Linked DNA regions of Sus scrofa. The protein of the gene in region 2 interacts with the protein of the main gene of each other region in a biochemical or structural test. Links are inferred from orthologs where the notes say so. Each region holds a gene or a part of one and is shown on either strand. Other genes may lie near its edges.

Region 1 (3,915 bases), on a different chromosome or scaffold from region 2:
AGGAGCAGCCCAAGAAATGGCAAACAAACCAACCAACCAAAAAGCAGATCTAGCCTAGATTCCAGTCAGTCCCCCCAGATTCTGGGGGGATTGCTGTCACACCTTGTTGAGGCTTCACCCGTGGTGGATAGCGTGTGAGGGCAGTGAGCTGTGTATCATGTCTCCCTAGACAGACTGTGAGCAGCTGAGGCCTTACTGGTTTCGGCAAACCCAGCACAATGGCAGCCATAAGACAAAGATGACGATGCTGGCTAACACTTATTGGAGGGATGGTCCACGCCCAGCACTGTGGCAAAGTGTCTCGTGTTGTGTTATCTCATTCAGTACTCTTAGCAACCCCATGACGGCGGTCCTAATGTTCCTGTTTCACAGGTGAGGAAACTGAGGCGTAGGAGAGGTCGAGTATTTTGCCTAAGGTCACAGAGAATATAAACGGTGGAATTCAGGTACGAGCAGAGGCAGGCTGGCTCCCAGTCGATGCTCCCATCACTAAACCATTATCCTGTCCTCCCTCTGTAACTGCCATTATGTCTGTTGGAGGGAAGGGGATTTGTTTTCCAGCTGCTGAAACAAATCTAAGCCTGGACTCCAGCCACTGCTGGGAGGGCAGGGAGGTACCTGGCAACCCCTGTGCCCGGGCCACTTGTGGGCCTGTTCCTTGCCGATCCACCTTCCTCCTCCCAGCCCACTCTGCCTCTGCAGTGATGCCTGGGAAGGGTCCCCAGGGCCTAAAAATTGAAATCCTGCCAAGTGGCCCATCCCTCTTTCCAGTTCCACCACCCCAGTTTCTGCTGTAACAACTTCCCATGCCCCTTCTTCCCAGAAGGCCATCTATCTAAAGACCATAAGGCAAAAGGGATGGAGGCTCTCCATAAAGGAGAGCAAACACTGGTATGGTGGCAGCTAGGATAAGCACCCCATCTCTTGTCCCCACGCGAGGGCTGTACTGCAATGGCACCATCCAGCTCTCCCTCCCCTTTGCTTCTGGTTTTCCTCTTTAGCCCAGTGTTTTCTTCCAATTAGGAGTCCTGGCAGAGGGTGGTGACAGCCACAATCCGTTGGACAACTGGAGTGTGGCTGTGGGGTAAATGCCTTGAAGCAGCTGCAGGGCACCTGACCTTTGGAGCCGAACCCAGCCAGCCTCCTGCCACGCTGAGGAAGAACAGCGTTTGTACACTGAGGTTGACCAAGAAGGTAGAGTGTGGGTGACCAGAGATGCCCCCCGGTGGTGGTGGGGAGCCGAAGCAGATGCCCCCTCACACTTCCTACTATTCTCTCCATTTCCTGTGGCCCAGAATTTGATGGGGGTGGGAGGAATTGTGCCAAGTCAGCAGTCCCCCTTTGGTCCCATCCTTCCCCCTCCCTGAACCACATAACGGAAATCTGGGGCCTCCCTCAAGTCAGCAACTTCCCCTTTCTCTGTGTTTAACCCCTAATCCAGGACGCCAATCGGCCCTCTGATCATCTCTCCAGGATCAGTCGACTTGGTGCTCAGAGATCTATGTTTTCCTACTCTATTGGTGGGGCTGATAGGGTGTTTTGCAGAATAAGTGACAGCTCAGAACCAGGCCACCATTCCTGTTCCTCTCTGAATAGAAGCCAAGAGCCCCAATCTTTTTCCTCTTTTGCTCCTGCTCCCCAGGGACTCAGGCATTCACCCCCTGCCCCCTTGGGGGTGTTGGGTCACAACAGGAAGTGGATTTTGCTAGAGACCAAAAAAGAGAACTGGAGGTGTCAGTGGAGGGAAGGAGCCTCGATTGCACAGAAAACATCCGGGGAGTGGATGGCGTGCCCAGGGCAGACACTGCCTCCCCTCACCCCCAGGAAGAGGGGTAAGGCTCAGATCGGGGAGGGTCGCCAGGCACTTTGCTGCCCCAAGATGAAGCTGTTGCTCCTAGCAACCCAGGGGAAGGCAGAAGTTTGTAAGCGGAGCCACCCGGCCCTTGGGACAGGTTGGGGGAGCCCGACTGCTTGGAGGGTAGTGGACAGGAGGCTCTCCAGTGGCTCAGCACGAGTCTAAGGGGATCCCCCTCCTGGCATCCAGCCTGCCCATACCAGTCCCCTTGGGGCCGGCCACCTGCTCCTTCCTCCGCCCCTGCATCGCTGCCTGCATCGGAGAAGCCAGTCGTCCAGCCCCCACATCCCTTCGAGAACCCAGATACGGGTTTCCCGATCCCCTCAGAGATCCCCTTGCAGGGTCTGTGGCATGCGTTGCCCTCATTATCCTCGAGGACCTAGGCGTGCGGCCCCGGATGGCTGCCCCCTAGGGACCCAGGCGTCCGGCCCCTGAATTTTCTCCCGGGTGTCCTTGTCTGGGAACCGTCCCAGTACCCGTCTGGAGCCGCCACCCACGTCCCGCCGCGTAGCCCCACCTCTCTTACCTGGTCCCCGGTTTCTCCCCCATGGTGCGCGCGCCCGCCGCCCGCCCGGTTCGCGGCTCGCTCGCAGCCTCAGAGCCCGCTGCCAGGTCCCTGCTCCTCCCCGCGCCACTGCGCACGCGCGCCCCCGCTCTTTCTCCACTCCCCTCTCCCCTCCTTCCCGCCCCCCCCGTCGGATCCTGGGGAGCCTAGGCCAAATGCGTCAGCCCGGATCGCGCGCGCCCCGGCACTGCCCGCCCTCTCCTCACAGGCACTCGCTGTGATTGGCTCCTCCAGCCGCCCTCCGCCCCCCATCTCCACCCCGGCCGAGGGACCCCCCCTCCCCGGCGCGCGCGGTCCCTGCACTCTGCTCTTCCCGCCCATCTCTCCACCCCTCCGCGCCCGCTTAGGCACTGATTGGGTCCCCTCAAACGAAGGCGCCCGCCTTCAGGAAATAAGAGCCTCTGATTGGCTTTATCCATTCCGGACCCTGCAGGGGTCCCCGCCCCTTTGTTTGCTTTCTCAGCGACGGCGGAGGCGAAGGGGGTGGTGGGGGCGGTGGATGAGCTCTAGCAGTCTGGCAGGGAGGATGAGGGGATCCACACGTGGGCGAGAGGTTCCAGTTGCGTGATGCTCGCTTATTGCGCGCCGCTCGCCCGCTCACCCTAGAGCTTGTTTCCTTCTTTGGCCCGCCCTCCTGTTTCCTTAGCGTGATGTGTCAGCTCCCCCTAGTGTCGGTATTTGATCTTCGCAGGGCTACTTTCCTACCTTTTTCCACCCATTCATCAAAGCGAACATCCATTCACGCACGCTTGCATCTATTTCATCTATCTATGCCCATTTTGCGCTAATCACTAAGCTAGGCGATGGGGACCCAGAAATGAATTAACATGGCCCCTGCCTTCCTCGTATGGTTGAGGAGACACATAAACAGGTACTATGATCCCAGGAATGCTTTACTAGAGATATGACTCAGAAGACAAAGCGACTCTCAGCCCTTTCCTGGGGGAGGAATGGAGGGAGGGCAGGCTGTCCAGAGGAGGGGGCATTTGAGGATAATCTTCCTGAAGGGTGGGCGGAAATTGAGAAAGGGTATTCTGAAGAGAGAGAAAGGCGAGGCACATCCTGTTTTGAGGTTTTTGTAGGGTGAGAGGGCAGGGGTGATAAGACTGGGTTGGATGAGTGGAACAGAGTGTGAAGGGTTTTGTAGAGCAGGCAATGGGGGGGCGCCTCTCCTGGAGGAGGGCGGTCGATCCAGTAGTGGGTTTTGTTTTTTTTTTTTTTTTTTTTTGTCTTTTGTCTTTTTGTTGTTGTTGTTGTTGCTATTTCTTGGGCCGCTCCTGCGGCATATGGAGGTTCCCAGGCTAGGGGTTGAATCGGAGCTGCAGCCACCGGCCTACGCCAGAGCCACAGCAACGCGGGATCCGAGCCGCGTCTGCAACCTACACCACAGCTCACGGCAATGCCGGATCGTTAACCCACTGAGCAAGGGCAGGGACCGAAACCGCAACCTCATGGTTCCTAGTCGGATTCGTTAACCACTGCGCCACGACGGGAA
Region 2 (3,815 bases):
CGGCATTTAAAAAATGGATAATCTTAATAAAGACAGCAACTGGCCAATGGAACCATTCTATTCTTCAACCAATGATAAAAAAATTTACTACACTGTGTTATGTTAATGCCTTATATTCCTACCACACAAAATAAACTGAATTGTGATAAAGCCCATACCTCAGGAAACTTCTGTACTTTACAAAACTTTACTCCATTCCTCAACCTAAGGGGTAAAACAAGGAAACCAATTTTAATAAACTTTTTCCCATATGTATCTACAAAACCTTTAGTATTTTCAAATATATAGTAAAACCTTTTAGAAAACGCAAAGATATCAGACAAAAAGTGCTCACTACTGTCTTATATGCTACTAATTTAAAAATGTATATACTAATAAAACCCTGGAATCCCTTACTGTAAAAAGTCATATAAATTAAGATTATTAGGGGAGGAGTTTCCGTCACGGCTCAGAAGTAACAAATCCATGAAGATGCGGGTTGGATCCCTCGCCTTGCTCAGTGTGCTAAGGATCCAGTGTTGCTGTGAGCTGTGATGTAGGGTCGAAGATGCAGCTCAGATCTGACATTGCTGTAGCTGTGGCACAGGCTGGCAGCTGTAGCTGCAATTCAACCCCTCGCCTGGGAACTTCCATGTGCCACAAGTGCGACCCTAAAAAGGCAAAAAAAAAAAAAAAAGATCATTAGGGGAGTTTGCCTAGCATGCATGTTAAGGATCCAGTGTTGTCACTGCAGTGTCTCTGGTTGCTGCTGTGGTGCAGGTGCGATCCCTGGCCTGGGAACTGCACATGCTGTAGGCACAGCCAAATTAAAAATTTAAGATTTTCAGTAATAAAAATGTAGGGAGTTATATAATTCTTTGATGAAAATAGTCTACTATCTATGGCCTGGCTATACCTTTATAACATTCAGATATCAAGTAAAACTGGGTTTAAAAAAAAAAACAAACCCAATTTCATAGAATTGGCTGAGTCAGGTCAATTAAACACACACACACACCACACGTGTGTGTGTGTGTATACAAAATTTTTGTATGTATATACAAAATTTTTTTTGGCTGCTCTATGTAGCGGCTTTATGTGGTATCTGTTCCCAGACCAGGGATCAAACCCAGGCTATAGCAGTGAAAGAACCAAGTCCTAAACACTAGACCACCAGAGAACTCCCTATGACCTTTCTTCTTAAATATAGAAACAAATAATTTGAGATAAGTAATTTTTAATAATTAAAAATTAGTAATTACCAATAATAATACACATTTGACAGACCTCTACTTCGGATTTTAGGGTAGATGCAAGTTCTTTTTTTTATTTGGCCATCCTGTGGCATATAGAGCTCCTGGGCCTGGGATCAGATCCTAGCCACAGCTGTGAACTAAGCTGTAGCTGCGGCTACACCAGATCCTTAATCCTCTGAGCGAGGCCAAAGATCGAACCTGCATCCTCACAGACACTATGCTGGGTTCTTAAACTGCTGAACCACAATAGGAACCCCAAGATTCTAGATCTTATTAGAAGGCTATTATTTTTCTATTAGATTCAGAAAAATTTTCCAGTTCATTCTACCTCAAACATACTTGCTTTCAGTTCTCCATTTACTTTTCTTTTCAAACTCATCACCAAGAAGACTTTGGAGCCTGAACTTGGAATTTCCTCGTGGTACAACAGGTTAAGGATCTGGCATTGTCACTGCAGTGGTGTGGGTTCAATCCCTGGCCTGGAAACTTCCACATGCCACCGGGCAAAACAAACAATCCAAAAGCCTGAACTTGCTGCAAGATGGAAAAAGGTGGAGCTCTCTGGTGGCCTAGCAGGTTCAGGACCCAACATTGTCACTGCTGTGGCACAGATGAAATCCCTGGCCCAGGGGAACTAACACATGCCAAAGAAACAGCCGAAAAGAAAAGAAAAAGAAAAAGACAGCTAGTGACAAAATCAAACTTTTCTTAACTGTCTTCTTATTCTGCTCTTATACAGCAGGTAACATTAGAGATGGTATAACCTTTCTGAATTTTACACAGATTTGAAACTATGTACCTTTATAGTCACTTTCACTTTGTAAATCTAGCCTGTTAGCATGGTAACCTGTATGAGAATACTGCTATACTTATGATGACAAAATTAATCTATGTAATGAAAATGTATATTATATGACGTAGTCCATATTTACAACATACTTGGAATATGTTTTATGCAAACTTACATACTTATATCTCAAAATACACTTTCCCATCTTAGCTAGTCCTATCAAATTTGTTAAATGTTTTTTTATCTGATTTGTTTTACAGAATAACCGGATTCTTTATTTTTCACTAAGACAAAGCTTCCCGGCTTAATTTTTCTAAGTAAAGTGGGAAATTAATCCCATATGCCCAATTCAAATAACAAGAAAACAACCACTTAAGATACAAAATGTGTACTTTCTGCTGTGGTGCAACGGGATTGGCAGCATCTTAAGAGCGCTGGGATGCAGTTTTGATCCCCAGCCCATTACAGTGGGTTAAGGATCTGGCATTGCTTTGGCTTAGGGTGCAACTGCAGCTCGGATCTGATCCCTGGCAGGAAACTATATATGCCTCAGGGCAGCCAAAAAAAGAAAAAAATAAAATACAAAATGTGCAATTAAAAGCACTGCCAACAACACTTACTTTTTGCATTTTTCACAACTGTACATATTGTCACCTGAAAATAGAACAGATCTGGTCATTCCTCTCAAATTAAAAGCAAGTTGTTTTTTTTTTTTTTTTTTTGTTCTGCAATTCTTCAAGTTTGCCACATGCTGACCTTGGAGCACAGCAACACAAGGCTGACTTTTTTCAGTCTCTGCTCAAGAGTCAGGGCATGATGCTTATCCTGCCTACAACACCCTTCACTTCCCTCTCTTTTTGACCCTGAAGGCCTACCTGTCCATTTATTCACTGAACAAAATCTACTGACTGCCTGTTATATGTCGAAGCAAGATGCTGACACATAAAAGTAGTGAAGAACCTTAAATACTTGGGAGGAATTCACAGACCAATCCAGATATAGAAGCCAGTGTTTTATATTGGCTGAATTTTCTTTTCTTTGAATCCCAGAGCAGATTTAAGCCACTTCAAATACCATATTGTCTAGTACTATAGGAATTTGTATAAATTGTTTTAGGATATGATTTATAGTATTTATATTTATATTGCTATGGTAGAAATTGGCACTGTGGCAATATGGGCAAGTACTATTTAGGCTGCCAGGAAACTTAGCTTTTATGAATACATTTTATATTTAGCCCTAGTAGCATTTTAGATAACCCACAACAGTTTAGTCATAGATGAAAACTATTTCTTATTTCTTACCTTTTAGTTCATCTCTGGCGAAGAAGGCAGCAAGACAATCTTGCAAGGTTACTACTGGACCCCAAAACCAGCTAGGGACACATGAGACAACAAACCTGAAACATTATTGACAGAAAAAAAAAAAAGAAGGAAATGTTCTGCCAGTACAGCAGAAACAGCGGTTTTAACAATCAATTAATACAAACAAAATACATACATACCTCTTCACATATTCCATGAAAAAAGCTATCCACCCTTGTGGAGCATATGCTTCACCACATGATCCTGCTTTGACTATAGACGTTGGATGACTTGATGAATGCAGCTTAGCAAGGTCTTCCTTGCCAGGGATAGGCAAGGATAGATCTTGAAAGGTCTCGAGGGTTACAGACACCTAAAATTGTTTTGTTTTAAGAACAGGATGAAAATAATCCAGCACAAACATTTGAGGATAGATTCTAGATTGCAAAGATCAAAGCAAACTATAAGAAAAAACAAAAAAATCAA

What was found.
Region 1: of the proteins of USP33 (region 2) and ARRB2, one has a biochemical effect on the other in vitro, tested with the Homo sapiens proteins (2 studies listed by BioGRID, with this or other methods). The link is inferred for Sus scrofa from reciprocal best matches to the Homo sapiens genes USP33 and ARRB2.

What each region holds. Positions count from the first base shown.
Region 1 is NC_010454.4:52,167,852-52,171,766, forward strand, and holds the start of ARRB2 (beta-arrestin-2), read right to left. Parts: upstream 2,512-3,915; 5' UTR 2,405-2,511; coding exon 2,382-2,404; intron 1-2,381. UniProt on the Homo sapiens protein: Functions in regulating agonist-mediated G-protein coupled receptor (GPCR) signaling by mediating both receptor desensitization and resensitization processes.
Region 2 is NC_010448.4:135,565,776-135,569,590, reverse strand, and holds part of USP33 (ubiquitin carboxyl-terminal hydrolase 33), read right to left. Parts: exon of another isoform or gene 3,703-3,815; coding exon 3,530-3,702; exon of another isoform or gene 3,425-3,529; coding exon 3,330-3,424; intron 2,680-3,329; coding exon 2,646-2,679; intron 205-2,645; coding exon 159-204; intron 1-158. UniProt on the Homo sapiens protein: Deubiquitinating enzyme involved in various processes such as centrosome duplication, cellular migration and beta-2 adrenergic receptor/ADRB2 recycling.